Sus scrofa: one gene and its partners. The protein of the gene in region 5 interacts with the protein of the main gene of each other region in a pairwise test. Links are inferred from orthologs where the notes say so. Each region holds a gene or a part of one and is shown on either strand. Other genes may lie near its edges.

Region 1 (3,794 bases), on a different chromosome or scaffold from region 5:
CCCTTGCTGTCTCGGGCTCCTCTGACCCGGGACCCATCCCCCTGACAGCAAGCATGGCCACGGACGAAAAGTACTTCAAGGACCCTGTGTCCCCTTCCAACCTCCCAACAACTCAATCTCCCTCACACCTGAAACCCACCCCAGGGCTGGCCCAGGCTTCCCTGTTAGCTGCTCTGGTGCAGAGGCAGCAGAGGTGGCAGGAGGTGGGAGGGTGGCGGGGAGCGGGGGAGAGCAGACACATCACTCCTAGGTGGCTGCAGTGCCCACATAGGAGGGAGGACCCACACCCTCCTCAGGCCTCGCAGCATGGCTGCAGCAGAGGGCAGAGATGCCCATGCACCACAGGGACCATCGGATCTTGAACTTCAGCATCTGGTGACACTCCTGGCTGAGTCCGCTGGGGCCTCGGCTTCAGAACTGCACGAGAGGCACCCCTGGGGCTGCTTCCAGCCTGCTCCCCAGGAAGCCCCCTTCTCCCTCGGTCCCTCCCAAGGCTCACACAGCCAGATCAGTTCCTCTGAAAATACACAGATCTTGGGTTTATTTGGGATTAGGCACTGCAGGTTCAGGCACGGTTTGTTCCTGGGTAGAAGAGTCGTGACTTCAACTCTCTTGGCACTTCGGGGGGGGGGCTGCCCCCATAGGTCCCCTCCCCACGTCCCGGCACACACGATGTCTCGTCCCCCCTCCCTGCTCCCTGGTCTCTTATTCCTTCACCAGCCGGTAGATATGATGCTGAGCCCCATGCTCGCTGGCTGACACCTCGAAGACATACGCGACGCACAGCAGGGTCTCCTGTGTGTCTCTGTTGGTGACCACCTGCAGGGGTGAGGAGAGGAGGGGGTCTGGGCCCCAGGAGACGGCATGCCCTCTGCTCTGCCCACTGCTCACTTCTGCCCCACTCGACACATCTGCGCCCCGCCCCCGCCTGCCCACACATACACTTGCACGCGTGCGCACACACACACACACACCTGCAGGATGGTGAAGTTCTCCAGCACGCTGTTCATCATGTACTTCTCGGGCAGGTGCTTCAGCTTGTGGATGAAGTTGACCATGTACTCACACAGCGGGGACCGGTGGATGCGGTAGGAGTAATGGCCGTTCTCATAGCGCGCGTACTCGGTCTGCAGGACCCAGGGACAGCGCAGCTTAGGAGGTCTCTGCCCACCTCCAGCCAGACCCAGCTCCAAGAGGAAGCTCCATAACCCACTCGTAGTAGAAGGAGAGGCCTCTCAGGAGGCCCTTGAGAACAGAGAGCCCTCCCCCCAGTGACCCAGCAGCTGGGTGTTAGAAGAAGGAGCTTAAAGACACAGAGGGGCGAATGGCCAGACGGGACAGAATGATGCCCCAACTCTGGTTGCACATGGGGACAGGGCCACAGGGACCCTTGCGCCCACAGAACCGTCACATATGTGTACCTATCCATTGGCATGCATGCCTGGGGATGCGCGCGCGCGCGCACACACACACACACACACACACAAACATGTGCACACCAGTGAGTGTGTGTAAATGGAGGAAATCTGAATCAGGCTGGTGGATTGCATCACTGTCTCCTGCCAGGCGGTTCTTGTTACACTCTAGGTATGTAGGATGCTGCCACTGGGGAACTAGGGAAGGGATGACAATTGCCTGTAGATCCACAATTATCTCGAAATAAAAATGTCATTAGAACAACGTGAAGGGCTTTTCAGAGTCGCTGCTGCCCAGACTCCACCCTAAGGTTCCGCGCTGTGGGCGGGGCTCGGCGCAGGTGTGTTGGGAAGGCTCCCCACTGGGATGGGGGTGCCCAGCCTCCCATGGGTTGATGCGAGGGGGGTTATCGCAAGCTGAGGGGTGAAGGTAAGACTTCATGAACTCAGTGTGGGGAAAGAGGTGAGCAGCGGCCGAAGCCCAGGCTGCAGGGGTGTGGGCGGCGTGGCCCTACCTCCACTTTCTCCACCACCTGCTTGCCGAAGGAGCAGACCTTGGTGGAGCAGGTGATGATCATGTTCTCGGGGCTCTCGTACTGGCTGGAGACGCCGTAGAAGGAGCTGCCCTCGTCCTCAATGTTGGTGTTGAGGTCTGCCTGGAGGGAGACAAGGGGAAAGCAAGAAGGGGATTCAGAGGGGCCCTGCTCGGGGCAGCGTCAAGGAGGCCTCTGGGGCCACAGCCCAGGTCCCAGGGCCAGGACTCACTCAGGAGGCTTGGAAAGAACCTGGCCGAAGGGTGTGTGAAAGCCTCCATTCTGTCCGCAGCAGGACTGGTATGAAGTCAGGTCCTGTGGCCCAAACAAAGGCAAAGGGCTCCCCTGCATTAGCCTCCGGCCCCTGCTGCCTGCCAGGTACCAACAGCCCAGTAGGCGGGGCCCCAAACTGGTCTTCAGGACCCTGCCAGTGCCCTTTAAGCAATGGCTTTGGGGGCTGGCCTCTTGCTCTCTCTGTGCACTGTGAGTCCGGCCACCCCTGACCTTCTGCACCTCTGTTCCACCTCCAGGCCAATCTCCCCAACGCCAGCCTCCTTCTGTTTGGCTCTTCCTCTCACTAGTCCGAGAGGTCTGGTTAGCACCTGCTCACAGAGCCCCTTTGCCACAGGGGCACCCACCTTCCCAGCCTGGCAAGACAGTTGGGTGCCTTGGTGATGTTGAGGCAGGAATTTCATTTATTTTCTTTTTTTTTCTTTTAAGGGCCGTACCTGCGGCATATGGAGGTTCCCAGGCTAGGGGTCTAAATCGGAGCTACAGCTGCCACAGCAATGCCAGACCAAAGCCGCGTCTGTGATCTACACCACAGCTCACAGCAACGCCGGATACTTAACCCACTGAGCGAGGCCAGGGATCGAACCTGCAACCTCATGGCTCCTAGTCAGATTCGTCAACCACTGCACCACGACGGGAACTCCAGGAATTTTATTTCTGAAGGCTTCAACCACAGAAGGGTCCTCACCCCCAGAACCCATTTGAGTCAGGGAGCTAAGAGAGGAACTTCAGACTCAGAAATGTGCCAAAAGATTACCAGAAGTTCCTTCTTAGGCAGAGCCTCCCTCCCACACACACACTAGTGGGAAGTCGCTGCCAAGCAGGACCCAGAGGGCAGCCCCACAAATGCAGGGGGGCTGCCAGACTTTGATAAAGACTCTGACACGGAGACCTCTCTTGCAAAAGGGGAACCCCAGAACCCGGGGAAGTTTCCAGCAGATGCAGAGCCGGGCCCCGGACTGTTCCATCCCTGTCCATTAGGGAACGTCAAAGCCATTACTTTTCTCTCCTTTGGGGAGAAAAGGTTTCCAAGAGCAAGAACACTTTCTTTCTTTTTTTTTTTTTTTTTTGTCTTTTTTTTTGCTATTTCTTGGGCCGCTCCTGCAGCATGTGGAGATTCCCAGGCTAGGGGTCCAATCGAAGCTGTAGCCACCGGCCTACGCCAGAGCCAGAGCAACGCAGGATCCGAGCCGCGTCTGCAGCCTACACCACAGCTCACGGCAACGCCAGATCATTAACCCACTGAGCAAGGGCAGGGACCGAACCCGCAACCTCATGGTTCCTAGTCGGATTCGTTAACCACTGCGCCACGAAGGAACTTCCAAGAACACTTTCTAGACTAGCAGGGGCTCAAAAGTCTTAAGCACAATAGAGATAATACATCGCACACGCCACGATGAGAGGGATCTGTTGTTACTCTTGTGAACTGACTACAACATAACGTTGAGTGGAGAAAAAGAAAAGCAGGTTATGAGATGGAATGAGGATGTGTTACTTTGATGAGGAAAATAAAGGCTGCTTTGACGCTGAATTAGATGGCAAATGTTTCAGTGCG
Region 2 (3,950 bases), on a different chromosome or scaffold from region 5:
AGGCCAGTGGCTACAGCTCCGATTCAACCCCTAGCCTGGGAACCTCCATATGCCATGGGAAACGGCCCTAGAAAAGGCAAAAGACAAAAACAAAACAAAACAAAGCAAACAAAAAAACACATTCTCCTTCTAAAGTGATTTAAGAGAAAAATTATTTGTGCTCCTACTTTGTCTTGATTGTGGAATACACAATGCCACACTCTCCTAAGGAACTCACTGGTCCCAGAGAGTAAGTCAGCTTCTAAATTAGGATGCATTTACTCAGAAGAGTTTCTAATTCTTTTGTAAATTACTGCTGCATGGAGAAAAACCTGACTTTTAGCTTGTCTTAAAGCTTCCAGAGGTGAGGTTTCTGAAATCTGTGTGGGGGAGGAGGGAACAATTATGTATTAAGAATATAGTTATTTCAAATCCAATTTTCAAATATTTTTATTATGTTAGAGAAAAAGCTACCTGAATCGTTCTTGGCCTGCTGTGTCCCATATCTGTAACTTTACATATTTACCACCAACATTTATTATCTTTGAACCAAATTCCACTCCTATTGTATGATTTGAGTCATCTTTGACTGAAAAAGAAAAAGAAATTTAAGTTTAGAATGTTAAGGAAACAGGTTTATAGATTTAGAGAAGTAACATTAAAATCAATAATTAAGTCAATGGAAAATGCAATTTTCTTTATCATTCATTTTCCAACAGTCAGATGATAATAAGCACTCATTGTTTTAAACGAACACACACAGTTCCTATTCTCAAAGACACAATACAACTTTTTCTCAAAACCTCTAAACAATCCATTTTTTTTGGTCTTTTTAGGGCCACACCTGCAGCATATGGAGGTTCCCAGGCTAGGGGTTGAAACAGAGCCGCAGCTGCTGGCCTACGCCAGTCACAGCAATGCCAGATCCCAGCGGAGTCTGAGACCTACACCACAGCTCATGGCGATGCTGGATCCTCAACCCACTGAATGAGGCCAGGAATCAAACCGCGTCCTCATAGATACTAGTCAGATTGGTTTCTACTGAGCCACGATGAGAACTCCACGACCATTATGTTTTAAAACTGAGGCTTGAAGGGGAACCACACCATGAGATGGTACCTACCGGACACTGCTAAGGTTCTCATAAGTGGTAAATGAATAAAATACAGGGTGCCATCTTGAAGGGCTTACCACCTGGTGACAGTTCTACAACTTTGCCAATGATAGTTTCAACTATTTGGATAAATATTCTATTTTTTTTTTTCTTTTGTCTTTTGGTTGTTGCTATTTCTTGGGCCGCTCCACGGCACATGGAGGCCCCCAGGCCAGGGGTCGAACCGGAGCTGCAGCCACCGGCCACGCCAGAGCCACAGCAACGCGGGATCCGAGCCGCGTCTGCAACCCACACCACAGCTCACGGCAACGCCAGATCGTTAACCCACTGAGCAAGGGCAGGGACCGAACCCACAACCTCATGGTTCCTAGTCGAATTCGCCAACCACTGCGCCACGACGGGAACTCCTGGATAAATATTCTAAACAAATAAAAGCAAAGGGAGGGAAAAGCACTGTAGCCCAAGAAAGAAGCTTGATGGACACAAAAGGTGAAGGAAAATCGGGGAAAAAATAGAGTTAAAAAAAAATCTGGAGTTCCCGTTGTGGCGCAGCAGAAATGAATCCGCCTAGGAACCATGAGGTTGCAGGTTCAATCCCTGGCCTTGTTCAGTGGGTTAAGGATCTCGCGTTGCCGTGAGCTGTGGTGTAGGTTGCAGATGTGGCTCGGATCTGGCAATGCTGTGGCTGTGGTGTAGGCCAGAAGCTACAGCTCTGATGAGACCTGTGACCTGGAACTTCCCTATGCCTCGGGTGCGGTCCTAAAAAGGAAAAGAAAAAAAAAAAATCCAAAACAAACTCCAAACCAAAAACTCTATCATATTATAGCTGTTGAGTTGTCATGAATTTTAGTATTGTAGGGTGATAATTTGGAATGAAATTTGTTGGAGAAATCAATACTTTGTGAATGGGCAGGGAGGCAGGCAAAATAAGTAGTCTGCTCCACCCAACTGGAATAAGCTAGCTATAAAAGAAAATTTCTGAGATGTTGGAAGGATAAGTTAAAAATACATTTCATGGCTCTACAGTTCATTGACTGGTTTATATTTTATAACCATAGGATAAAATTTAATTGTACCAGAAATCAGAGATGCTTCTTAACAGCAGTGTTTACTGCTTCCTGGGGATGAGAGGGTGAAAGGTTATTAGTACTGGCACTGGCAGCTGTCTCAGCCCAGACAGTGCAGACTGAGTGTGGATACCTGGCTAGGATTCAGCTCCTGGGCAAGCCTTCAGAGGGTGACCCTAAAGGCCAAGGACATCCTGATTAAGACATGGCTACAACAGAAATAAAGTGAAACCTATTTCCTCCTGACTGTGGTCCTGTGGAGTTAGGGAGGATCTGGGGGGGGCGGCGGGGGGGAGCCTTCTCCACAGAGGCTGGGCCCCTGACCTGATGTTCCTGAGCAGTCTTTTCTGAGACAGAACAGTGCAAAGCCTGGTAACTTGTAAAGAAGCTTGACCGCCCAGTAAATGGATGCTGGTTAAATTCATAAGGCCTGGCTCCCTGACAAGCCACACTGGGTTCCTGTCCCACACAGGGGTTTGAGCTCTGGGTTGATGAATGTGGAGGCAGAAGGATACATTTCTAGACTACGGTTCTTCAAAGCTCTTTCCCAAGACACTCTGTGCTGCCTCTTTCCCCATTTTACCCACTACTTACTGTATCTTATGCACTTCATTAAATTAAATTAATTCTGTTTTCAGGCTCTCACCTGCCTACCCCTACCGCTACCAAACAGGCCATTCTCCACAATTCTTTCCATCAGTATAAAGCATTATTTTGAGGGCCTTACAATCATACCATCTTTTACAGTAGCCTGGAATACAGAATTCAACCTCCCTTACCAAAACATGTAGGTCAAGGACAAGAGATATTTTCTGTGCTCAAAGGCCCAGGTTTATTTCTAAGCAATTACTAGGTGACCACTCTAGAGCATGCACACTAACTCCTCTAAACCTCTGTTTCTTTACCTGTAAAACTGAACTGATGACAATACTGCCTTAATGACAGTACAAGGCCACTGAGGACCAAATGTTATTTATCCAAAATGTGCAACTAGGGTTCTTGGGCCACCTCCTGTCAGGAAATGGAATTCCTCTGCTGTTTTCCACATCATCATATTGTATCTTAGTATCTAGAAAATGTACAGGACAATTCACTACATAATGAACAATGAACTACTATAAAACTAAAATGCTAAATAAAAACCACATTACTAGAAGTTTAATAGCATGAACTTTTAACGTCATTTAAAAATATTTTTAAGCCACAAACTTTTTTTCCTGAAAACTTATTTGGAAGTTTTGCTGTCAACAAATTTGAGCAGAAGCACTCTCAGAAGAAATTGAGAACACCATGTGACATCACTTACATTTTTTCTCAATAAACTGATGAAGCAAGCAAGACTTGCCAGTTCCTGCATTTCCAATAACCAAGAATTTAAACAAAAAATCTGAAAAACAAAAAGAGACCATGAAAAAGAACTTTAAAACAGGTGCTGTGAACGTAGTCTACAACTGTAACATTTAATGAAATCTTGGTTGTTAATATAACAGAAAAAAAGAGGTAACAAGATTTTGTGAAAAAGGCAATAAACACACGGACTTACCTTTTTACCTTTTCAGCATTTGGTTTCCATGCTGAGCCAGTGCCTTTTCAAACTGCTAAGGGGACAATTTCTTTTGATACTAAAAGTTTGAAAACTACTCTGGTGATGTCTAAAGTCTGTCTCTTTGCTTTTCAAATAAATATGCATACGCAGTGACAAGCAAAACTTGTCTAGAAATTGTGTTTTCTATTCAAAAGAATGGACCTGGTTTAGTTGAAGCTTTGAGAAGTCCGTTAAGAGCAAGTGT
Region 3 (4,714 bases), on a different chromosome or scaffold from region 5:
TTTGCACAAGCCGTACCCTCCGCGTGGGACCCCAATTCGCACCTCACCTAAGAAAATTCTAAGTCACTCTACACTCACTACTGCGAGTCTGTACCTCAACCTGACTCCTAGATCAGCCTGTGGGATTCCTCCAGGGAAAGGACTGGCTGGAATCTGTGGGACTCCACGAAGTTTACTCTGGGCTCCCAAGGTGCCCTGAGCTGCTTTCCTTGTCACCCTACACTTGGCTCTGAGATCTCTTCCATGCGCAGTGCAAAAGAGGTTCAGAAGGGATGGGGTGGGGGGTGGCAAGGAGAGAGGAAGGTTTGGAAGGGCAGGCCGGGGGCTGAGGCTGCACGCCCTCCTCTGACAGTCCCCAGAATCCACCATTCCCCGGGAGGCTGAACCAGGAGGTGGGGGGAGGGACTGGGGCAGGGAGCTCAGGGCCCTGGGGTTCCCATCTCCCCTCTGCCACCTCCCTCCCAGGATGGGGTGTGGGAAGTCCATCTCTCTCCTTCCCGCCACCCTTCCGCCCCATCTCACCTGAGCCTCTTGCACCTTCCCTGTCTGGGTCTCCACAGGGTCTGAGGCTGGGGGGAGGAGGGGGAGCAGACGTGGTTAAGGTGAAGGGAGTGGTTAAGGGGGAAGGAAGGGCTTCAAATTAGTGGGGCAGAGGGATCAAGAAAACTCACCAACCTGGTCATACCGGGTGGGGTGGGGGTGTAAAATGGAAGTGGAGGAGGGCGGCAATGGGGAAAAGCGGACCTTATCAGTGTGCAGACGGCTGGGAGGAGAGGTTAGCGAGGGACAAAGAGGCCGGGACAGGAAGGTTTAGGCGAGGGAAGAGAAAGTAAAGCACGCCCGGCATGGAGGAAGACTTAGGAGGAGTTAGGAAGGGTGTAGTAGTGTGAGAGTGTGTGTCATTAGGTTTACAAGCAGTGGGAAGCCATAGAAAGGAGAGAAGACATACTCTGCCTGTTGGCAGGTTTGGGAGAAGAGGTGCAGAGTGTGTGTGTGTGTGTGGTGTGTGTGTGTGTGTGTGTCGGGCAGGGTGGGGTTGGTTTCGGAGAAAAAGGAAGCAATAGGAGGGGACCCTGGCATCCTACAGTTGCTACTAACAACCAGGTACCCTTAGCAACCAGGACCGCGGCATCTTAAGTCCCTAGCAACGAGGGTCCTTGGCAACTAAGGTGCGAGAAACATGTGATCATTAGTAACTTGGGGGAAGTGGCAAACGGACCCTTAAAACCTAGCGACCCAGAAAGCCACCAATCTAGCAATATGGATCACTTGGCAACTGCCCCCGGAATCCCATTTTCCCCCCCATGCAACCCCCATCTCCTGCCCCACCAAGCCTGCCCTCGGGCCCCGGGGCCTACGACCCTCAGCTAGGCCCCGGTGCAGCCCTGCCCTCCCACCGGGGTCCCCGACTCACGATCCGGCTCGGCCATGGGCGCGGGGCGGGGGCCCTCGGGACTGTCACCGACTGCTCTGTCCCGTGACGGCACCGGAAACAGGAGGGGGCCGAGACAAGGCAGAGAACTACAACTCCCAGCAGCCATCGCGATCGCATATAATGCTCTGCACCGCGTACGGAGCGCGCCCCCACGCAAAGGCCGGACTACGAGTCCCAGAGGGCTCCACGTCCACAGCCATGCTGGTAAAGGACTCCGGGAAAGTGTGGGAAAAGGTAGAACGCCGTAGTCCACCTGAGTGCTCTGATTGGTCATCATGTGGCATGGGGGCGGGGCGTGTACTACTTAGCCCACCCTGATTGGATGAGTCAGGGGGGCGTGTTGGGGAATTCCCCGCAGGGCGGAAGCTCGAGAATTCCAGGCAGAGCCCAGCGACAGGCGGGCTGCCGCTGGGGGCCCCTGAGGCTTCGGGGGCCATGGCTGGGGTTGCGTGCTTGGGGAAAGCTGCGGACACCGATGAATGGTGCGACAGCGGCTTGGGCTCTCTGGGTCCGGACGCAGCGGCCCCCGGAGGACCAGGCCTAGGCGCGGAGCTGGGTCCGGGACTATCGTGGGCGCCCCTCGTCTTCGGCTACGTCACTGAGGATGGCGACACGTGAGTGAACCTTAGACTGACAAATCGGGCCCCAGGGTCCCACATCTCCAATCCTGACTTCCCAACCTTTCAATCCTAAATCTGTCTTTTGATGCTTGACTTCCTGACCCCAAGACTGGCCTCTGATAAAACCAACTTCTTATCTAATTTTGATCCTAACCCAATAATGTCTGGCCTTCCTTTCTTGAACTGATTCTCAGAGTTATGCGTTCATTGATCAGACCCACATTCAGTGATCGATTCCACATCCAAAACTCGATTTGACCTTCCTGACCCCAGTCCTTAGCCCTCTGTTAGAACTGTAGTTCAGACAGGCTCCTCCTGACCTTTATCCTCCAAATATGATCTTTGGTCCTCAGCGCCTAACTTACATGAGCCTTAGATTTTATTTCGAAATTAATACTTGGCTTTTGACTCCAGGATCCCACCTTCTGAACTCTGATCTTCAAAGCTTACATTCAAAGAGAAAATGGAAACTACATAACAGCAGGAATTCATCTATTAAACAAATAATCCAACACCTTCGACTTTCCAGGAACTGTTTTAGGTGTGGCCTAAAGGCAGGGAGGAAAGCCCAAAAAACATTTGTCTTGTGGAGCATACATTCTAGTGGGGGTATATAGACAGAAGGGCAGATAGACTGACAGGGAGGGAGGAAGGGTAGGAGGAAGAAAAAGGAAAGAAAAGGAGAGAGAAGGAAAGAGAAAAAAAGATACACAGACCTAAAGTAAGAAAGGGAGAGAAAGAAGAAAGGCAGGAAGAAACGAAGACAAAAATTAAAAAAAAAAAGAAAAATAGCATGTCAGACGTTAAGAAGTTCTTTGGAGAAAAATAAAGCAGGGAAGTGAGACAAGTAGATTATCTGGGGAGAACATTGCACATAGAGGGAAAAACAGTTGTAAAGGCCCAATTGAGGGAATGTACCTGGGGTTTTTGAGTATCGTGTTTACCGCTGTATCCCCAGTGACCCAGCAGCCCCTGACCCATAGGAGGCACTCAGGAAACAGTGATCTTCTCAAACAACCAGCTGTGGTTTCATTTATTTTCTCTTTTTCTCTCTTTTTGCTTTCTATTTTGTTGATCTCTGTTCTGACTTATTTACTTTCTTCTCTTATTTGGGGTTTAATTTCTTCTTTTTCTCGTTTTTTAAGATGGAAGCTGAGGTCATTGATTTGAGACTCTTTTTTTTTTTTTTTTTTACGCATATAAGTGATTCATGCTGTAAATTTCCCGGAGTAGTGCTTTAGCAGTATCTCACCAATTCTGATGTGCTGTGTCGTTTTTTGTCATTTTGTTTTGTTTTGCTTTTAAGGCCTACCTGCGACATACGGAAGTTCCCAGGCTGGGGTCAAATCGAAGATGCAGCTGCCGGCCTACACCGCAGCCACCGCAATGTGGGATCTGAGCCCTATGTGCGACTTAGACCACAGCTTATGGCAGTGCCAGATCTTTAACCCAGTGATCCGGGCCAGGGATTGACCACATCCTCATGGATACTGGTTGTGTTCGTTAACCACTGAGTCACAACAGGAATTCCATGATGTGTAGTGTTTTTATTTAATGCAATATACTTTCTAATTTCTTTTTTGATTTCTTCTTTGGTCATCGGATTCTTCAGAAGTATGTTATTCAGTTTCCATATCACAGGCATCTTTCTTTCATTGGCTTTTAGTTTAATTCTGTTGGGGATGGAGAGCCTAGCATGACTTGAATCCTTTCAGACTTTTTGAGACTTGTTTTAGGGCCAAGAATATAATGTGTGCATTTGAAAGAATGTGTATTCTGCTCTGGTTGGGTGTAGTGTTCTCCGAGTGTCAGTGTTTCCCTGGTTCTTTTGTTGCTCAAGTCTAGATTTCTACTTGTTCTGTCAATTATTGAGAGCCGGGTATTGAAATCTTCAACAATAATTGTGGATTCGTGGCTTTCCTTGTTGTGCTATCAGATTTTGCTTTGTGTAATTTGATGCTCTATTATTAGGGGCACAAATATTTAGGATTATTAAGTCCTCTTGTTTCACTGACCTCTTTGTCGTTATGAAATAACCTTCTCTAGCCCTGGTAATGCTTCTTGCTCTGAAATCTACTCTGATATTAAAATACTTACTTCTGTTTTCTTTTGAATGACTGGTGTTACCATGGAATATCTTTTTATACCCTTTAATTTTAACCTATTTTAAAATTTATATTTCAAGAGTGTTACAGGCAGCATATAGTGGGTTTTGCTTTTTTTTTTTTTTTTTTGGCTGTGCCTGTGGAAGTTCCCGAGCCAGCAACTCAACTCGAGCCACAGCAGTGTGGCACAATGACAGTGCTGGATCCTGAATCTGCTGCACCACAAGAGAACTCGAGGTTTACTTTTTTATTCATTCTGACAGTTTCTGTCTTTTAATTGCAGTGTTTAGACTGTTTGCATTTAACTTAATTATTGAAATGGTTATGTTTATCTTGTTTTTAGCTTTTTTGCTTATCTCTTTTACCTTTTTCCTCTTTTTCTGCCTTTTAGAATGAGCAAATTTTGTTCCATTGTGTTTCTTTTGTTGGCTTATTAGCTCTAACTCTTTGTTTTTTATTTTCGTGGTTGCTCTGAAAGACCAATAGTTGGCAAACTGGTTTCCAGACAAAGTCCAGCCAGCTACCTGCTTTTGCATGGCTGTGAGCTAAGAATA
Region 4 (4,613 bases), about 61 Mb from region 5:
CACTCAGTGAAGAAAAAATAGAGCAGAAACTTGAACCAGACTTCTACTCCAGTGACTTAACCAAGGCTCAAACTAAGGCTCAAAACTAGGTCCAATGTACCCCAACCATGTGCCATACTGTTTCATTTCTTGATTATAAATCATTTCAGTTGAACAGTTCTCTTTGAAATACTATCAGTGGTTGAATGTGCACTGATTAGCCTCACTGGAGATGTAACTGAGTGAGGCTGGTTCCAGCCTGAGCAGGAGGTTTGCACCCGAATGTGTACACTTAACATACTATGTTGTTGACACTATTAGAATTTGGGCTCAAAGAGCTGAATCAAATTTAAGCCAAAAAAAAAAAAAAAGAATTCTGACTTTGCTTGATTTTAGAAAAGTATAATGCATTTACTATGTTCTATAATAATAACCCTGAGGGGCCTGGTTACACCCTATAATCAAACATATTAACATTTCTGCAGTAAAACTTAAGAATATTTACACTATGAGGGATAAATAAAGATTTTTCAGTTCAGGACAAAAAAAAATTTAAGTCAAATCCAAGTACTGCAGACTGCAGTAAGTTTATAGTAAAAAGGTGAATTGGTTGATTAAAACTGAGTTTAACATGCCAATTTAAATTTACTCCTAAGCAGTGGCATCTCTGTGAAATAAACAAATTTTAATTTTTGAGCCTCAAGGGTGACTTGCCCAAGGGCTTATAGCCAGTATGTACTAGAACCTGAATATGACTGACCTCTGTTGACTTCACTACCTTCATGCCTCTTTTGCTTCCACTCTAAACTTGTTTTGCTCTCTCTGGTGCCTAACTAGACAACAGCCTCATTTCAACCTCATTTCAAAGGATAACACCATAAGGTGGAAGTGTCTCAAACAGATGTTCCTAGTGTGTTTTCTACCCTAGCTCTTAAAAAAACCTGTTCTGTTACAAGCTCCAGAGCTGCTTGGCTTTACAAAAAATGTTTGACCTTCAGCTAGGATGATGACTTTGTTTCCAGCTGAATCAAAGACATCTGACTACATGACAAAATACTTGCTGATATGCCTTGGGGAAAATATTTACAGAGAAGCATTTATTTCCTCCACCTGATCTTCCTCTCAATCGGGAAGCTGAATCCTCTCAAAGAGCAATTTTCACCTTCACAAACTTATTATTTTTCTTGTCTAAGCCCAAAGAAGTGTATTTGCCTCTTAATCTCCAAAACAAACAAAAAAGTTAACATTCTGATAACTATCAAAGATTAAAAACAGCCAGTCATTAAAGTGGTAAAAACACATGTTTTCAGTAACCACTGACAGGAGGGGAAAGAGCTGAGCTCCATTCCAATTTGTGCACAGGTGATTAAGCATTTTAAAATGACTGAGAGTGGAGGCAAACAGAAGTGATGATCAGGCCAACTGTGTCTGCTAGCAGGTAATTAAGGGAGGGCGCTCAAGGGCATATCCTCAGGTGTGGGACAAAACAAAGAGCAAATTCTCCTGGCTGTGGCTGCAATGAGTTTTCTCAGGCAGGCATTATACTGGGAGCCAGAGTCATCCTGGGAACAGAGCTTAGGCTGCTAGAAGCCACAATAGTTTGGTGGTCTCTCCGTGCAGAGGTTTGGACTGAATCAGTCCTTAACTGCTGAGCGTTCTGCCATCCTCAGTAACCCCAGGGTAGTCCTGATCATTAACTATTTCACAGGCATTACCTTTCTCCATAACTGAATTGCGTCCATCTAGGACAAACAGCTATTGAAAAGTCAGGTAAAGGTAAAAACCAAACAAAACCCCCTTCATTTTATTAAAAGCTGTAGCCACCCAGGCAGAGACAGAAAACTAGGTTTAGGGTTTAAAAACAACTCTTATTTAAGAGTCCTCAGATTCTCTGAGAAAAAATTCAGAATGAAGAAAAACAAAAGGTCCCCCAAAGAGAGGACCACAGTCAAAACATCTCTCAGAACCAAAACTGACTTTCTGCTCCTTAGAGAAAGAAAAAAAAAAAAAAAAAAAGAAGAAGAAGGGGAGGAGAAAGGGGAGAAGACGACAAATAAGAACAATTATTACTTTCCACATGTTCTTAGGCACATTTAAGAAAATTTCAAAATTTTCTTTACAGACTGGCCAAACACCTAGAGTGCTATGCTATTTCTCCAGCCAAAGAATTCAGGCAATGAAGCCCACGACTGACCAAATTCCAAAATATGGGTTCATTCAGGCACCATTTTTTTAATGGACTTTCTATGGATTAATAAAAGAGATCTCATCCTGGAGAGGGCTTGTAGTTCAGTGGTAAATACACATAAAACAATATCCACTTTACAACGTGATGGGTGATATTAACACAGGCCTGAATGAGATGCAATGGTGACAGAGCAAAAGGAGTGCCTTAGAAATTCTGGGATAGCTTCCCACCTCAGGCGACAAACATTTCAAGGGAAAAGGAGCAAGGGGATCCACTATCGAACCTAACGTCCACGTTACGGTGATTGGATTCAACCCCCAATTTGGCTTAGAAGCCTGCTTCCCATCGTAGTAAACTTCCTTTTTCAAAGCATTATCGGCAAACCTCCTCGGCTTGTCTGTCTTTAGCTCTCTTAAGGCACAAGTGACGAAAACTCATAGGTACGTAAGGATAGTGCCCGGCTCAATAAAGGAATGTGGGGTGAAAAGCTCAATTAATGAGTAAAGTCAATGAGCCTTCATAAAATCCAGCAGGCCGGGCGCCTGTTCCACCGGCTGGGCTCGTTCTGCCCAGTCCGGTTCAAACAGAGGAATGTGTGCGGGCCCGCCAAAGAGCTTCGCCCTGGACTCACGAAGTGTCTGAGGAGAGCTCAGAGTCGGCCAAGGAAACAAGGTGCCTCGCTGCTGGTCCAGGGTGTGAACGGACAGCGGCTCCGGGCCGGTGTTCCTGAACCCGTAAGTGTGTTCGTTCCATTCTTTTACTTACATTCGCGAGGGAAAGATTTCAATTCGGTCTTTGCCCGACATTCTGACGGCGACCGTGCGGCTCCGGTCCCAGGCCAGGCAAGTGCTGCAGCCACAGAGTCCTTCTCTACCGGAGTCAGCTGGTTGTGTCACGTGACGCCCTTCGCGTTGCTAAGAGGCAGCCGGAGTGTCTCTTCTTCACTTCCGCTTTCTCTTGGCACAGGAGTGCAGGAAGGCCGGGACAGGAAGAAGGCGATGCCCGGATGTTGAGGCGCGCGCACCCCGGAACCGCCCCTCGATTCCGGTACGCTGCCGAGCCCCTCCCCCTCCAGCTCCCAGGCGGCTGCGCAAGGCTCTACACCCAAGAGACGAAAGACCGAGAGAGAAGAGTACACCCCTTCTCCTCCTCCACATTCACCTCTGGTCACAGCGCCACCTCATGGTTGACTGACAGTATCGTAGAGAATTTATTCTTTAGGGACAAGGAATCCGAGTCTTACTTCTTATCTGCGCCTTGAAAGTCACTTAGCGAAAACTAAAGATGGCGAGAAAATGTACTTTTCAAGTCCTCCTAAGGCCCACAGACCTCTTTGTTCGCGGAGGACCTAGACTCTATGGTAGGTGATGAAGAGCGGTCTGTAGTCTGTCGGCGCTTGCGTGCTGCGAGGTGGTTCCGCATGCGCGGTAGGGTTGAGAGAAGCGCACGCTGAAGAGAGTCGGCGGCTGCTGCGGGTGGATCAAGTCAGTTCTCTCTGATTGAAGAGCGCGGCGCGGGGCCCCAGTGCGGGATCCATATACATACCTCAGGTGACTAGTCTCCCCGATCAGTTTCTCGAAGAATTTACTTTGGTTGTGTCCAATGGCATGGGTGTTCGGTAGAGGGTAGGCCCTGGGTTAACACCTCCTTTTCCCGTCCCTGAGCGGGAAGTGCCTGGACGCGACTGCGGTCGCCACCGGCCGGGTGTCGGTCTCTCCGAGCGGTGGTGTCAAGGTACGAACGAAGGAATCTCGTGAAGGGAAGTGGGCCCAGTGATTGTACAGCGTCTTCAATATACATAAAACAGGGGTGCCTTGAGGTGGGGCCGTCTCGGGAGAACGCTATGACACCCCCGCCCCACGACGCTGAGCATTTTGCTCTCTCCGGGCCTGAGAATTCCATCTTTTTCGTCCGCCCCAGCAAATACTACCTCTCAGTGGAAACCAGACCGGCCGCTTCAAGGAACCGGTGGTTTGGGCCATGATGTTGACAGAGTTGGGTTTAAAAGTATCCAAGAATAATTTGTTCCTCTGATAACTTATATTTAAAAATTGAAGCTCCTATCACTTTATCGCTCGGTGCATTTCTGTAGACTGAGTCACCCCTTCAGTTGAAACTAAAAGATACTGTTGAAGAGTTTATATATAACTCTTAGTATCGGTTTACCGTGTTTCAGCATCGATGAAAGTAAACTTGTAGAATTACACGCTGTGATCTTTCGGTTAAGCATAACTAAAAAAACATAAAGATAAGGGAATTTTATTACCCCCCCAAACTTAGACTACTTTAAGTTTTATTTAACAAGAAACATTGTTTCGTGGAGGAAAGGTTTAGCAAGAAGTCTTGGTTTTTCTCCCGTTTGATGTTATTATTCAAGGGAAAAAATCTTGTAACTCTGTGTCTTTCAGCAGTTTGGAATTATGTAGAGCTTTACTGTCTGTTCTCA
Region 5 (4,620 bases):
TGGGTTCAGGGTTATCAGGGGTCCCAGGTCAGGGTTATTAACCTCAAGGACAGCATCGCAGGCTGTGATCTGATTGTGCAGAGATGCTATGTTCTCACTTTCTTGGATATCTGACCACAAAAGTCAAGGCCTTACTGTGCAGATAGAGCTCCTTGGACCAGCAGGACCTCTCCTTCTCTCTTAGCTGATGGAGGGCAGCTGTGGCGGGGCTGTCAGCACCATGCCCCACAAAATACTCCTTTTTTTTTTCTTCTTTTTTAGGGCCGCACCCACAGCATATGGAAGTTCCCAGGCTAGGGGTAGAGTCGGAGCTACAGCTGCCGGCCACAGCCACAGAAACACCAGATCCAAATTGCATTTTCGACCTAGGCCACAGCTCACAGCAACACTGGATCCTTTTTTTTTTTTTTTTTTTTTTTGGTCTTTTTGCTACTTCTTTGGGCCGCTTCCGCAGCATATGGAGGTTCCCAGGTTAGGGGTCTAATCGGAGCTGTAGCCGCTGGCCTACGCCAGAGCCACAGCAATGCGGGATCCAAGCCGCATCTGCAACCTACACCACAGCCCATGGCAACGCTGGATCGTTAACCCACTGAGCAAGGGCAGGGACCAAACCCGCAACCTCATGGTTCCTAGTCAGATTCGTTAACCACTGCGCCACAACGGGAACTCCAACACTGGATCCTTAACCCACTAAACGAGGCCAGGGAGTGAACCCGAATCTTCAAGGACACTATGTTAGGTCCTTAACCCACTGAGCCACAATGGGAACTCCCAAACGCCCGTTTTAGTAACACCACCCTTCCCTCTGCCAGAGGATACAATCACGAATGGATTTCTGCTCAATCTGCTGTAGCTCCAGTTCAACCTGCTTTGAATAGTGACGGAGATCCACACCCTGGAAGAGCATAAACACGATGGGTTGGGGGGGGCAGTCAGAGAAGGGACACTGCAACAAAGTCAACAAAGGATTTGGGGAGAAGACATTAAGATATTACACGAAGAGACTGTTTTCTTCTTTGAGGGGAGGGTGAGTGGAGGGGCAGATTAGGAGAGCAGAAAACCTCACCGTTTTAAGAGCTTCCTTTACTAACTCATCCTCCAGATTTGCCTGAATGTGAACTGGAAAGAGAAGTTTATCATAAGGGTCCAAAGGGCTCCACAGCGCCCGCTACCCACATCCGAACATCTGCACACCAATTCCTGCCTTATTACCTCCAGCCCCCATGCCTCTTAAGATGACAGGCACTGCGGCCACCTCGTGCCATCACTTACCATCAACTTCATCCAGGATGAATTCATCAGAGGTGAGGTCCAACTCTCCAAGTTGCAGTGGCTCCTGGAGACCTGGACCACCCCCCTGGAGAGGGGCAGGTTAATGGGAAAGGGAGGGGGAGAACAAAATATAATGGGGAGAGAGGACTTTCACTGGGAAACCAGAGAGAAATGCTGAGTCCAAAAAATTCCAAAATCTCATATTGTCCCAATCTACTCATTGGGGCTGATGGGTAGGGAATATGACAAGGAGCCAGCAAACCCACAGAGGTGACCAAATGAGGAAAATTAGGAGATGCAGGGACAGAGCAGAACTTGCAGTTGAACTTAGGGTCTCCAGACTCCTTCTATCTTAGATGTTCTGTTACAATCCCCGTGGGGAGCTCCAGCCTTTCTAGAAATGTCAGTTAACACAGTGTTCACCATCGTGCCAGGTGTCATCCTACATTCACCTAATCCTAACCGACAACCTCTACAGTAAGTCTTATTTTTTCACTTTATAAGTGTTAAGAGTGATGACACAGAGAGGCTAGTTAACTTGCCCAAACACACACAGCATAAGTGGCTGAGCTGGAATTAGAACCGAGGCAGTCTGGCCATGTTCCTAGCATTTACTCTACACCGCTTCTCTATCCTGCGCAAATATCTGGAGTTTAACTGAAACTGTGGCCCCAGAACCTAAGTATCAGCCATTCTAGTCCCCACTTTGGTCCAGGTCCGATCCGGGGAGGGGTATGGAGAGCCAGACCAGGCAGCATCACCGGTAGCAGCCGAGCTCCCAACCTTGCGCGAAACCCAGCCCAGACCTTTCTGACGTGAGAAGACCGGACGAGACTCTGGAGGAGAAACAGCCCTGCGTCCTCACCAGTGGGCCCTCCTCCTCCTCCATATCTGAGGCCCCGGACCGCAACACCAGCTCCCGGGCGGCTGCCGCCATGGTAGCAGCGGCAGCCATTCCGCGCAGCCCCACTTCCGGCAGCTGTCGGGCAGGTCCGTTCCCCTGAGTGGAACTGCAAGTTCTGGGGCGTGATGCACGAAACCGTTCCCAGATATTTGAGTTAAACAGACTGCCTCTAGCTCTCCCCTTTTCTCTAAGCTCTTCGCCCAAGTCCAAATGGAAACTGAAAGTCTTAAAAAGAGAATCTCAACCCGGAACTCTCGTGGCTCTCACGCGCAAAAACTTTACGATCTGTAAAGAGAGACGGCACCGGAAGTTGTGGCGCGCAGTTCTGACTCAGAGGCCTAGCCGGCTCAGGTACAAGGAGTTTCCGGAAGCGCTTCGCCAAGGTCGCTCCGCCTCTTCCGCCTGGAAGCTATATAAGAATGTCACGTCACTTCCGCTCTCTCTTCCACTGGAGGCCTACACGCCGCCGCCCGCGCTGCAGCCATGGTAAGAGTTGGGTTCGTTCGGGTATCTGGCGACATCGGAGCCGGGACAGGGAAGGCTTGCTGTCAGAGCGCCGAAAATGTCCTGGCCTGGGGGCTCGCAGCGTTTTGTGTGGAGCCTTGGGCCTCATTCCTGGAGAAGGACGACAAAGCACCCAGTTCTAGGCAGCGGGGCCCGAGGATGAGCGCTCCCCGGGCTCTGGGAAGGCTTGGGAGCGCGTGGGCCCTCCGTCCCGCCGCTTGGGAGCGGGCAGGAGGCGTTCTCCTCCGGAGATGGCGTTCTCCGATCCTGGACGCTTCCTGTTGTGCTGTCGGCAGGACCAGGGAGTCGTGTTGTGTCGTGAAGACCTGACGGGGGCTCTTTGCACCTTGCGTGACAAGCTTCACGCTCGTGTTTGGGGTTAACGGTTTGGCGGGAATTAGCGAAGTCTGACATCTCCCCCCATCTCTATCAGTCTCTAGTAATCCCTGAGAAGTTCCAGCACATTTTGCGAGTACTCAACACCAACATCGATGGGCGGCGGAAAATTGCCTTTGCTATCACTGCGATTAAGGTAAAGGAGCTGGGGGTGTGAAGGAAACTTGGGTAAACACCTGAGGTGTAAGCGAAAGTCTCAACCGTGTCACCTGGGCTGCTGGGTAAAAACAATGGTCAGGGTCCATCTAAGCCCTTGCCACATTTGCCGCAAAAGGTAAGTGGTAAAAGCCAAAGAACCGTCTTAGGTGAAGCAAAGTTGTTTTCACCTAGGGGTTGGGGAAAGGCTTTGGTTGTCTGCCAGCATTTGTTCACTAAACCGGCCTGGACCATCAGCAGTCAACTTATAAGGTCCCTGCTATATAGGTTTTTGCTCCTCCTAGTGCATCATAAGAGCAATTCTTGTGAAATGTGTATGTCCTGGAAATGGGATAATGGTACACTCTGAAGGGAGAGTAGAAAGGCCAAGAGATTCCAAGCATGAAGAAACCAGGAAATGGGGGGGGGGTCACTATTTCATAACAAGGTCAGTGAGCACAGGCTTAACTAACATAAAAAAATGACCTTACCAGTATGTTTATGTTATGTGGTGCCAGGGCTAAGCCTTTCTTGCTCACAATCCCCAAAGGACACCACAGTAAGTATTTTATAGATAGGTTGTTAATTTAAAATGGTGAATCACAAGCTTTGCTTTATAAGAGCCATCATGTTTACTTTGAATTCTTTTCATTCTGTAATTCAGGGTGCACAACTTTCGGTCTTAAGTGGTGCATGAGGAGACTGCTTCCTTCTATTGTGAAACTAGTAAGGCGGTGCACAGTAGAGGCTTATTTTATTGCACTTTACAGATAACCTCTTTTTTGTGGCAACCCTGTCTTGAGCAAATCATTTTTCCAACAGCATTTGTTCACTTGGTGTCTTCTGTCACATTTTGGTGATTCTCACAATATTTCAGACATTTTCATTGTTATATTTGTTACAGCGATCCATTGTCATTGACTTTTGTTACTATTGCACAAAGGCTCAGATGATGGTTAGCACTTTTTAATAAAGTATCTTTTCATTAAGGCATGTATGTATGTTTTTTTAACGTTAAGACTATTGCTCACTTAATAACCTACATAACTTACATGCACTGGGAAAACAAACAGATTTTGTGTAGCTCCCTTTATTGCAACATTCACTTTTCCGAGTGGTGTAGAACTGAGCCCTGAGTATCTCCACACGTTGGTTGTCTGTTCCCTTTTTAGGGGTTGTTAGGAGGCTTAAGTAAGTGAAAATAAAAGATTAGCATCATTCATTAATAGGCTGCTTCTGTTAAACCCTTTCTGCCTCCTTAACTGGTATTTACTTTAATTATGCAGCCTAACCTTTGTAGTTGCTGAAAACAGTTGAACCAAAGTTTCTGGTGCTTAATGAGTTTTTTGATAATCTCTTAAGGATCCTGAGGCTCTGCTTATCACTGGGAGGTATTGGGGTTTTGCTAA
Region 6 (4,537 bases), on a different chromosome or scaffold from region 5:
TAAGTTTATACTTACCGTAGTCCTTTAGTAGGCAAGCTCATAAAACAGCACCCAATTGTGAAAAATCAGGGAAAACCTCCAATAAATGGTTAGTCTGATCTCCAAACTTCAGGAAGTTTCCTGAACCAACAATTTAAAAATAATTCTTGCTCCTCTGACTAAAATTTTAATTGATTATTTCCTCTATGAGTAATATCATTATCACTAGGGCAGGTGGGGGAGTGAGAGGGAGAAAATATGTCTGTATTTACTTCAGACTCAGAAATGTGTCTAAAAAAATAGTCTCAAACATTTTGATAGTTAGACAAAATACCTCCTCTGTATGTACGTTCTTCCTTTTCAGAAACTTCTGCACTTGTTAATGTGAGTTTCTGCAAACTGGCTCAAACATACATTTAAGGAGTTGATAATTTCAGACTATACGCATCAGAATCTCAACGCTTTGTTAAAATAAGAGCTAAAGTTTCTTTGAAACGTCTTAAAAACAGACTCCTAATTCAACTCACATGATTAATACTGAACTTTTTAAAAAACAATTATATCATAAAAGCAAAAGATAATGACTCTGCCACCAAGTTTTGAAAAAAGGTATCTGCATGTTTCAGTCTCATGCTGCCTCTTGAAAAGAGGAAAAAAAAATTGTCTGAAGCATTTGAATTGTGAAAAATGTCTGCGATGAAAGTTTTTTCACTTTGGGTGAAAAAACATGGTACTCTCCCACAATCCAAATTAGTAAAGTTGAAAATCAAACATATTTTTGCTTTTAGAGTTGGATTCTTGTTGAGTGTTTCGGTGTTGTACTACAAAAGCTTATGGATTCGATTCATTTCTTCCTCTCACAAGATCATCCCATTGAGGCTCTATTTCAGTGGTGGCAATCCGAAACAGGGCGTGGAGGTGTTCGTCTGTCAATGGGTGGCTCAAGGTGTGCTGGTTTCGAGTCAAATATGAAAAAGCCTTTTCACAAATCTTGCTACTATCAAACAAGGATGCTACCTTACAGGCAACCCCTTTGATAATTGGGTAAGATTCAGCAGACAGTCCGGCATAGAATTGCCCCAAGTCTTTGGTTCTGTATTCGTTCCAAAGATTAGTATTTGCCTGAAGTTTTGTTAGCTCCACCCTTACTGAAATAGGTGCATATTCAGCTTTAAAGCTAAATGGATTTGCAAAAAGCTCTAAGTCCTTTTTAATGAACTTGAGGTCCTTGAAATGTCTCTCAAATTCTTTTTGTAGGCGACAGATCACTACTTGATACCTTTCAGGATCAAGTATTTTTTCATCTTCTTGAAGATGCTCTTTAAGCTCATCAACAACTTCTCTCAAGGCGGCAAAGTGTGTTAGATTTTTTTCCTCGATATGTCTCTGAAGTAAATTCAGCTTAACTTCAAAGGTACAAATATGGTCAAAGGCAGCAGCAGCAAAGACTTTACTTACTCTCAATAGTTCGCTGAGTTCTCGAAGGTGGTCCATAATATCCACCAAAAAGCCAAAGTCACAAAGCCACTGCTTGTCTGTGAAATGGACCGTTGTTGCCCCTATTGAAACCAAAAATGTTTTTATCTCTTTTCTTAAAGAAAATATTAGTTTTAAGGTCTTCCCTCTTCTAAGCCAATTGTTCAGACAGCGTCCATTAACCCTTTCACCATGCTCTGATTCCGATTCAGTTAGTAAAGCCTGAAATTCTGGCCGCCTAACGCCTCTGGTCTTAATCAAAACTATCCATTCAGATATGGCATTTATGATCTGATTAACATCCACATCGTAGGAGCTCAACAGTTCCAAGTGAAGAAACCCCGAATAATGGATAACATTCCAACAGTTGGGGCTTACAGCCTTTTCTCTCATGTATGACACCAGCCCTGAGTTCTCACCAATCATCCTCAGAGTGTGGGTCGTGGTCAGTCCAACCATCCGCTGCAGGCTAAGCCCTGCAGTTTGCAGGGCCTCAAGGATTGCCGCCATGAGGGCACCAACACTGAAGTGCTGAGTCAGGTTGATGATGGTCAGAAGCTCTTCCTGCACCTCTAAATCGTGGCCCACGCCGCGGACAAAGACGAGGAGGTAGTTCTCATAGGCCACAAAAGCCTGGTCGTCCAACGCAAGGGAATAGGCCTTAAAGTCCTTGGCTCGGTTAAAAAGCTGACTGCGTAGATTCTGGTTAATGTCTAGGACCCTCTGCTGCGTGATCTCCGGAGATAAATCAATGCCATCCATAACGCCTACGTGATCAGGCAGCACATCTCTGAGCATCACCTCCATGCACCGGTACACGAAGTCCCCCTCACCCCAGCCGCGACCCTTCAAGGCCAAGAGGCGGGTGAGCCCGAGGCCTGCACGAGCAGCTCTCTCCTCCGGGGTGAGCGGGGCGGCATCGGGCAAGTCGCCCTGACGCAGACGCTCCACCAGGGCCGCGCGCTCGCCCTCCGCCACATACCGCTCGTAGTAATCGTGCTCCGCCTCGTAGTGGTGCCTGACATCGGGTTCGCCATTGGCTACGACCAGGCGGCGACAGACCAGGCACAGGGCGCCTTCGCCTTCCGGAGGCTCCACAACCAGGTAACGCTGAGTCCACTCGGCCTGGAAACCCCGAGGCTCCTCGATTTCCATTTTGCTCCTCTTGGGCGTCATCCACATCTCACGGGAGACCACTGGATCTGGGCCGACCTCCCGGAGGCCGCAAGGAGAGGGGAGGAGCAGGAGCGATCCCCAAGCGCCAACTCCGCTCTGCGCCAGATCACCCCAGCTGGGGAAACCACTGGGGTTCCGGCACCTTGATTCCTATTGGCTGGAGATTTCGTATTCCCCTGCCGCAAGCATGAGCCAATAGGAAGAGCGGACACTGATTTTTAGCGCGCAGGCGCATATCCTTCTCGCTGCAAAGTGCACTAAAGCCGCCTAAGGAGGGCTAAGAGAACAGGAATCATGGAGCTAAGAACTTGACTGGCATTCAAGATGCCCAATCAGTACCTCTCTGTCCCGGAAGTGGTGTTGCCGCTAGAGGGCGGGACGGGACGGCGTCAGCAGTGTTGCTGGAAGGATGTGGGTGCGAAGCTCTAAGGAGATTGGCTGAAAGCCCTTCCAGTGAGCGTCTCACCGTTACACGGCCTGCTCTGGCGCCAAAATGTCGCAGGTACCGGGAGTTATCCGGCGGTTGGACGAGACAGTGGTGAACCGCATCGCGGCAGGGGAGGTTATCCAGCGGCCGGCTAATGCCATTAAGGAGATGATTGAGAACTGGTACGAAGGGAGGAGTCCAGGCTTCCTTAGAACCTAACGGGCCACTGCTCAGGATGGCGCGGACACGCCTCTCTGCCCTGAGTGGAGGGGTGTGCCGCGCGCCGCCGCCGCGGGGAGGCCGGGGTCCTGCCTTCCTCTCTCCCGGGTCCTCGAGCGTCCCTTCGAGACTTTAGGGTTGATGGGGGCACAAAGAGAGGGCGATACAGTATTGTTTTAATGGTGCCATCAACTAAGAGAAATTCTAAAATTATATGTGCAGAAGATGCAACTTTTTAAACGTTTAAAAAGCTTTTTACATTTAAGAAGAAAAAACACCCCTCTCTTCATCCTTCAGAGGGCGTCAGTTTCTTGCTTATTCTGTATACATTCAGAAGTACAATTCCTTTTTAATTTTTTTTTTCTTCTCGGGCCGCTCCCGCGGCATATGGAGGTTCCCAGGCTTGGGGTCCAATCGGAGCTGTAGCTGCCGGCCTACGCCAGAGCCACAGCAACGCGGGATCTGAGCCGCGTCTGCTACCTACACCACAGGTAGGTAGCAGACGCGTCTGCTCACAACAACACCAGATCCTTAACCCACTGAGCAAGGCCAGGGATGGAACCCGCAACCTCATGGCTCCTAGTCGGTTTCGTCAACCCCTGAGCCACGATGGGAACTCCTGAATTTTATTTTATTTTATTTTATTTTTTAATTTTATTTATTTTATTTTATTTTTTTTACTTTATTTATTTTATTTTATTTTTTATTTTATTTTATTTTATTTTACTTTATTTTATTTATTTATTTTATTTTATTTAATTTTATTTTTTTATTTTATTTATTTTATTTTATTTATTTTATTTTATTTTTGCCATTTCTTGGGCCGCTCCCAGGGCATATGGAGATTCCCAGGCTAGGGGTCTAATGGGAGCTGTAGCTGCCGGCCTACGTGCCAGAGCCACAGCAACGCAGGATCCGAGGGGCGTCTTCGACTTACAACATAGCTCACGGCAATACCGGGATCGTTAACCCACTGAGCAAGGGCAGGGATCGAACCTGCAACCTCATGGTTCCTAGTTGGATTTATTTCCACTGCGCCACAATGGGACATTTTATGAGGGTCTTTTAAGAACCTGAGGCTGAGTAAAGTTTGTGAAACAGGTAGTAGAATTAGTTGAGAATTAGGTAAGAAAGAGGCATATGTTAAGTAGTCCCACTTGTTTTTTTTGTCTTTCATCTTTTTAGGGCCGCCCCTGCAGCATATGGAGGGTCCCAGGCTAGGGGTCTAATCTGAGCTGTAGCTGCCAGCCTACACCACAG
Region 7 (3,950 bases), on a different chromosome or scaffold from region 5:
CAGGAAATCTACCTTAAAACTATCTCTGACAGGGGCAAATATGATGACGAGGTACATGCTTCTGTGTAACTGTCATTTGGGTAGGCCAGAAGAGTCTTCCCTATGTTATTTTAATCACAGAACCTAAATAAATGACAAGTACACCCACTCCCTAAACAGCTGGGTTAGAGCAGTTATTCATGCACTAGACTTTCGATTTCTGTTGAATGATTCTTCAACTGAAACCTTCTAAGCTGCTAGGTGAGGAAGGCCTTTACCTCAGATGAAGTGCAATAGTTAGGGTACTGAACACCTAATATGAGACAGCAGCTTCATATTATAACCCTGAAAAGTAGCTATCATAACTCCCATTTGACAGAAAAGGAAACAGAAGCTAAGAGAAATCAAGTACCTTGCCCAAGGGCACATTGTTCGCAGGTGGTAGATCTGGGATTCAAAACCAGATCTTATTGGGTCCAAATCTTGCAATTTTTCCTTTCCAAAACTTCTAATGCGGCCTCTCAAATTTCTTGAGGCAGTAAGAAATGTATAGCAAAGGGATCAGAAGCTTATCTCCATAATTTCAGAGTTTTGAAGTTCTCCTCTTTCCCTACCTAAATGCAGATGTTCTGCCAAATCTCCCATCAACACAAAACTTGAAAATTTGCCATGTATTGCCAAAGGCTTAGAATTTAGACCTAAGATCCAGGCAGGTGCTGCCACCTTGTGGCAGAGGCCCTCACTGCCAGTTTACCTCCTGGGCTGGGCCAGGAATAAAACCTGCCCCAAACCAAGGAAAGAGATTGATTTCCTATTTTGTAAACTTAAGTCTACTGCGAGAATATACATCTTTTAAGGTGTTCTCTAAATAGAGATGATAATAAATGCATATATGCCACAAGTGTTTACTCATCTTTTTTATAATGCACCAGGAACCATGCTATGAATTGGGGATATCTTCTGCCCTTTTGGAGATTATAGACTAAGGAAGGTCACAGATAAGATTAAAGTCACAAACCGACAAGTGTTACATGAAAAATAACTAAACTGCAGTGGAAGGGTATATTTGGAAAAGTGAATTTAGATTACGGGTCAGGAAAGATGTCTTTGAAGAAGTGTCATTAAAACTGAGAACTGAAGGAGTTCCCGTCGTGGCGCAGTGGTTAACGAGTCCAACTAGGAACCATGAGGTTGCGGGTTTGATCCCTGGCCTTGCTCAGTGGGTTAAGGATCCAGTGTTGCTGTGAGCTGTGGTGTAGGCTGCAGACGCGGCTTTGGATCCCACATTGCTGTGGCTCTGGCGTGGGCCGGTGACTACAGCTCCAATTCGACCCCAGCCTGGGAACCTGCATATGCCGCAGGAAGCGGCTCTAGAAAAGGCAAAAAGACAAAAAAAAAAAAAATTGAGACCTGAAGATTGAGTAAAAGTTAGGAAGAATCAAGTGGGTGTGGGGGAGTTAACTGAAGAAAATTTTCTTGTAAAAAGGCCCAAAGGCACAAAAAAACCTTTGTGGACTCCCAAGAAATTGAAGGAATGTTTTGCTGGAGTGTAATGAGTAAAGAGTGGTAGCAGATAAGCGGAAAAGGTAAAGGGGCCAAATCACACGGGAACCTAAGGGAACGTTAAGGATCTGGGTTTTACTCTAAATGCACTGGACAGCCATGGAAAGACTAGGAAAAAAATATTCACGAGGGAAAAAAAAAAGAACAAATGTCAAAAAACACAAAATGATAACATCTGCCATGTTCTAGGAAAATTGAGAAGCAACTTGAAATCACATCTGTATGTATAGTTCTATAAAATGTTTTTCCAGTCAATATATCAAGAACATTTCCCCATGCAAGGGGTTGGCAAATTATGCCTTTTTTATACAGTTTGACTGGAACATGGTCATACCCATTCTATTATATATTGTCTATGGTTGTCTTCCTGTCATGATGCCAAGGTTGAGTAGTTTTTATGCGAAGCCTGAAGTATTTATTATATGGGTCTTTAAGAAAAAGTTTTCTGGGAGTTCCCTTCGTGGCTCAGTGGTTAACAAACCCGACTAATATCCATGAGGACATGGGGTCTTGTTCAGTGGGTTAAGGACCCAGCGTTGCCGTGAGCTGTGGTGTGTAGGTTGCAGCTGTGGCTTGGACCCCGCATTTCTGTGGCTATGGTGTAGGCCATCGGCTACAGCTCCAATTTGATTCCTAGCCTGGGAACCTCCATATGCTGTGGGAGCAGCCCTAAAAAGACAAAAAAAAAATAAATAAAAATAAAAATAAAAAATTTTTAAAAAAAGGAAAAAGTTTGCTGATTTCTGGTCTATGCCATTAAGTAGTCTTATACAACACCATGTTAATCGCTAATTAGTATTAGACTTAAATGCCTAGCAGGATTGCGCTAATTTCAAGACCCCAACAATCAATCTTTTTTGTAACAAGCCCAACCTCTGTAATCCAAATTGGAGGCAGGATGAGCCAATGAAGGACGGGGTGTGGGAGGTGTTACCTTGCCAGTGAGGTGCAGATGCTGACACAGAGCTGTCTGCCAGGCACAGATCCAGGCAGGATCCTCCAGGTCACAGTAGCAGTAATAAAGCAGCACCTCCCCGTCATCGCTGTCCTGGCCACTACAAAGAAAACCACAGGGAAAGAGCACTTGAGTCACTGGCACAGGAAACCACAATTCACAGAGCGCACACAGGCAGAATCGGAAGGAAGGCCTAATGGAGCAACTCATGCTTGCCTTTGTTTCTCTCATTCTTGTCCTAAAATGAGAAGCAATGTCTATGGGTATCTGCTCTAAAGAAGGCAATATCTGCATTGAACTTCTTCCTTTATGAGAAGTGAATTTACTTTGGTTTCCTCATTTAATTGTCATGTCATGAGAGAGGTACTAATAATGCTCTTTCACAAGACAGCTGGAAATTTGACTTCATTCTGTCTGAATCTCTCTATACACAAAAAAGTTTTACTTCTTCCAAAAATAAGTTTCTCTTCCATTTTGGTCATGTAATCCTCTTACCCATGAGACAGGTTATCATCCTCCCCATTTTAGAGCTGAGTAAACTGAGCCCAGTTCATCCCAGGCGAGACAGTTACAAAGTGACAGTCAGGACTCGAAACACCAGTCTGCTGACACTAGAAGAACTGCTCTCTCTACTGCTCTGTGCTGACTTTAACTAGTCATGGAAGCTGGGTGGGGGTCTTATCTCTGAGTCCTGAGTTCCTCATCTGTAAAACTGGAAGACTGAAATAAACTGCATTTGTGTGCTCTGAAGCTGTCCTGTGAAATCACATGACTGAGAAATCCTGTGGACAGTGTCTCCCTCTTTGAGAGTGGCAGTGAAAGCCCCTCAGCCAGTAAAAGCGCCAGGCAGTCCTGCAGTAAGAACATTTTAACCTAGTGCTTCCCAAATTTAATTGTCTTCAGTACCTCTCTCCAACACCTGATAGCATCCTTCAGAGCACATGCTCTGCAGACCTATTTGAGAGAATGATATGACAGATGGTAATTAAGGTCCTGTCCCACTCTGGAGTCTGTGCCTCCCTCATCGTTGCCCTCTTCATGCTTCAGGGCCTAGTCTCCTCTGAAACCTGCCTGTCTATTTTAGGGCCTTCTATTTTCCTTTCTCTAAATTCTTGTAATGAACTACTATCTGAGCCATACAATTTTAAACGATAATTATACGGTCTTTAACCATCTGCTAAATGTTTCATGTATCCTTTTTTTTTGTTTTTCTAACTAAAAGGCAGGGCCATACAGAAATGAATGAAGAGATCACGTTTATAGCACTTTCCAGTTCACGAGGGCTCTTATCATTTTGTATAATTCATAAAGCAATTCTGTCAGGTAGGCAGAGCAGGCATTATTATTCCAGTTTTAGAGGCGAGGATGTAAAGGTACAAAGAATTTTAGTGATTAGCTCAGGTCTGACTCCAAGTTCAATTCTCTTTCTAACCTTCTCTTCTTTCTGATAAAC

Evidence for each region.
Region 1: the proteins of VPS52 (region 5) and TEAD4 interact in binary tests that used the Homo sapiens proteins (3 or more experiments, as listed by UniProt). The two-hybrid records come from large-scale screens. The link is inferred for Sus scrofa from reciprocal best matches to the Homo sapiens genes VPS52 and TEAD4.
Region 2: the proteins of VPS52 (region 5) and RAB4A interact in binary tests that used the Homo sapiens proteins (3 or more experiments, as listed by UniProt). The two-hybrid records come from large-scale screens. The link is inferred for Sus scrofa from reciprocal best matches to the Homo sapiens genes VPS52 and RAB4A.
Region 3: the proteins of VPS52 (region 5) and NFKBIB interact in binary tests that used the Homo sapiens proteins (3 or more experiments, as listed by UniProt). The two-hybrid records come from large-scale screens. The link is inferred for Sus scrofa from reciprocal best matches to the Homo sapiens genes VPS52 and NFKBIB.
Region 4: the proteins of VPS52 (region 5) and ATP6V1D interact in binary tests that used the Homo sapiens proteins (3 or more experiments, as listed by UniProt). The two-hybrid records come from large-scale screens. The link is inferred for Sus scrofa from reciprocal best matches to the Homo sapiens genes VPS52 and ATP6V1D.
Region 6: the proteins of VPS52 (region 5) and EPM2AIP1 interact in binary tests that used the Homo sapiens proteins (3 or more experiments, as listed by UniProt). The two-hybrid records come from large-scale screens. The link is inferred for Sus scrofa from reciprocal best matches to the Homo sapiens genes VPS52 and EPM2AIP1.
Region 7: the proteins of VPS52 (region 5) and TSTD2 interact in binary tests that used the Homo sapiens proteins (3 or more experiments, as listed by UniProt). The two-hybrid records come from large-scale screens. The link is inferred for Sus scrofa from reciprocal best matches to the Homo sapiens genes VPS52 and TSTD2.

The regions. Positions count from the first base shown.
Region 1 is NC_010447.5:67,129,830-67,133,623, forward strand, and holds the end of TEAD4 (transcriptional enhancer factor TEF-3), read right to left. Parts: intron 2,072-3,794; coding exon 1,931-2,071; intron 1,128-1,930; coding exon 975-1,127; intron 820-974; coding exon 706-819; 3' UTR 563-705; downstream 1-562. UniProt on the Homo sapiens protein: Transcription factor which plays a key role in the Hippo signaling pathway, a pathway involved in organ size control and tumor suppression by restricting proliferation and promoting apoptosis.
Region 2 is NC_010456.5:60,500,837-60,504,786, forward strand, and holds part of RAB4A (ras-related protein Rab-4A), read right to left. Parts: intron 3,548-3,950; coding exon 3,467-3,547; intron 569-3,466; coding exon 454-568; intron 1-453. UniProt on the Homo sapiens protein: The small GTPases Rab are key regulators of intracellular membrane trafficking, from the formation of transport vesicles to their fusion with membranes.
Region 3 is NC_010448.4:47,701,871-47,706,584, forward strand, and holds the start of NFKBIB (NF-kappa-B inhibitor beta), read left to right. Parts: upstream 1-1,773; 5' UTR 1,774-1,870; coding exon 1,871-2,049; intron 2,050-4,714. Other genes in the region: SIRT2 (NAD-dependent protein deacetylase sirtuin-2), read right to left, coding at 523-569, 1,415-1,430. UniProt on the Homo sapiens protein: Inhibits NF-kappa-B by complexing with and trapping it in the cytoplasm.
Region 4 is NC_010449.5:91,081,722-91,086,334, forward strand, and holds the start of ATP6V1D (V-type proton ATPase subunit D), read right to left. Parts: upstream 3,188-4,613; 5' UTR 2,974-3,187; coding exon 2,933-2,973; intron 1-2,932. UniProt on the Homo sapiens protein: Subunit of the V1 complex of vacuolar(H+)-ATPase (V-ATPase), a multisubunit enzyme composed of a peripheral complex (V1) that hydrolyzes ATP and a membrane integral complex (V0) that translocates protons.
Region 5 is NC_010449.5:29,636,219-29,640,838, forward strand, and holds the start of VPS52 (vacuolar protein sorting-associated protein 52 homolog), read right to left. Parts: upstream 2,951-4,620; 5' UTR 2,663-2,950; coding exon of another isoform or gene 2,660-2,662; 5' UTR 2,228-2,659; coding exon 2,138-2,227; exon of another isoform or gene 2,079-2,137; intron 1,358-2,078; coding exon 1,273-1,357; intron 1,120-1,272; coding exon 1,067-1,119; intron 896-1,066; coding exon 820-895; intron 111-819; coding exon 43-110; exon of another isoform or gene 1-42. Other genes in the region: RPS18 (40S ribosomal protein S18), read left to right, coding at 2,660-2,662, 3,114-3,212. UniProt on the Homo sapiens protein: Acts as a component of the GARP complex that is involved in retrograde transport from early and late endosomes to the trans-Golgi network (TGN).
Region 6 is NC_010455.5:21,876,246-21,880,782, reverse strand, and holds the start of EPM2AIP1 (EPM2A-interacting protein 1), read right to left. Parts: upstream 2,921-4,537; 5' UTR 2,638-2,920; coding exon 811-2,637; 3' UTR 16-810; intron 1-15.
Region 7 is NC_010443.5:239,479,054-239,483,003, forward strand, and holds part of TSTD2 (thiosulfate sulfurtransferase/rhodanese-like domain-containing protein 2), read right to left. Parts: intron 2,598-3,950; coding exon 2,477-2,597; intron 1-2,476.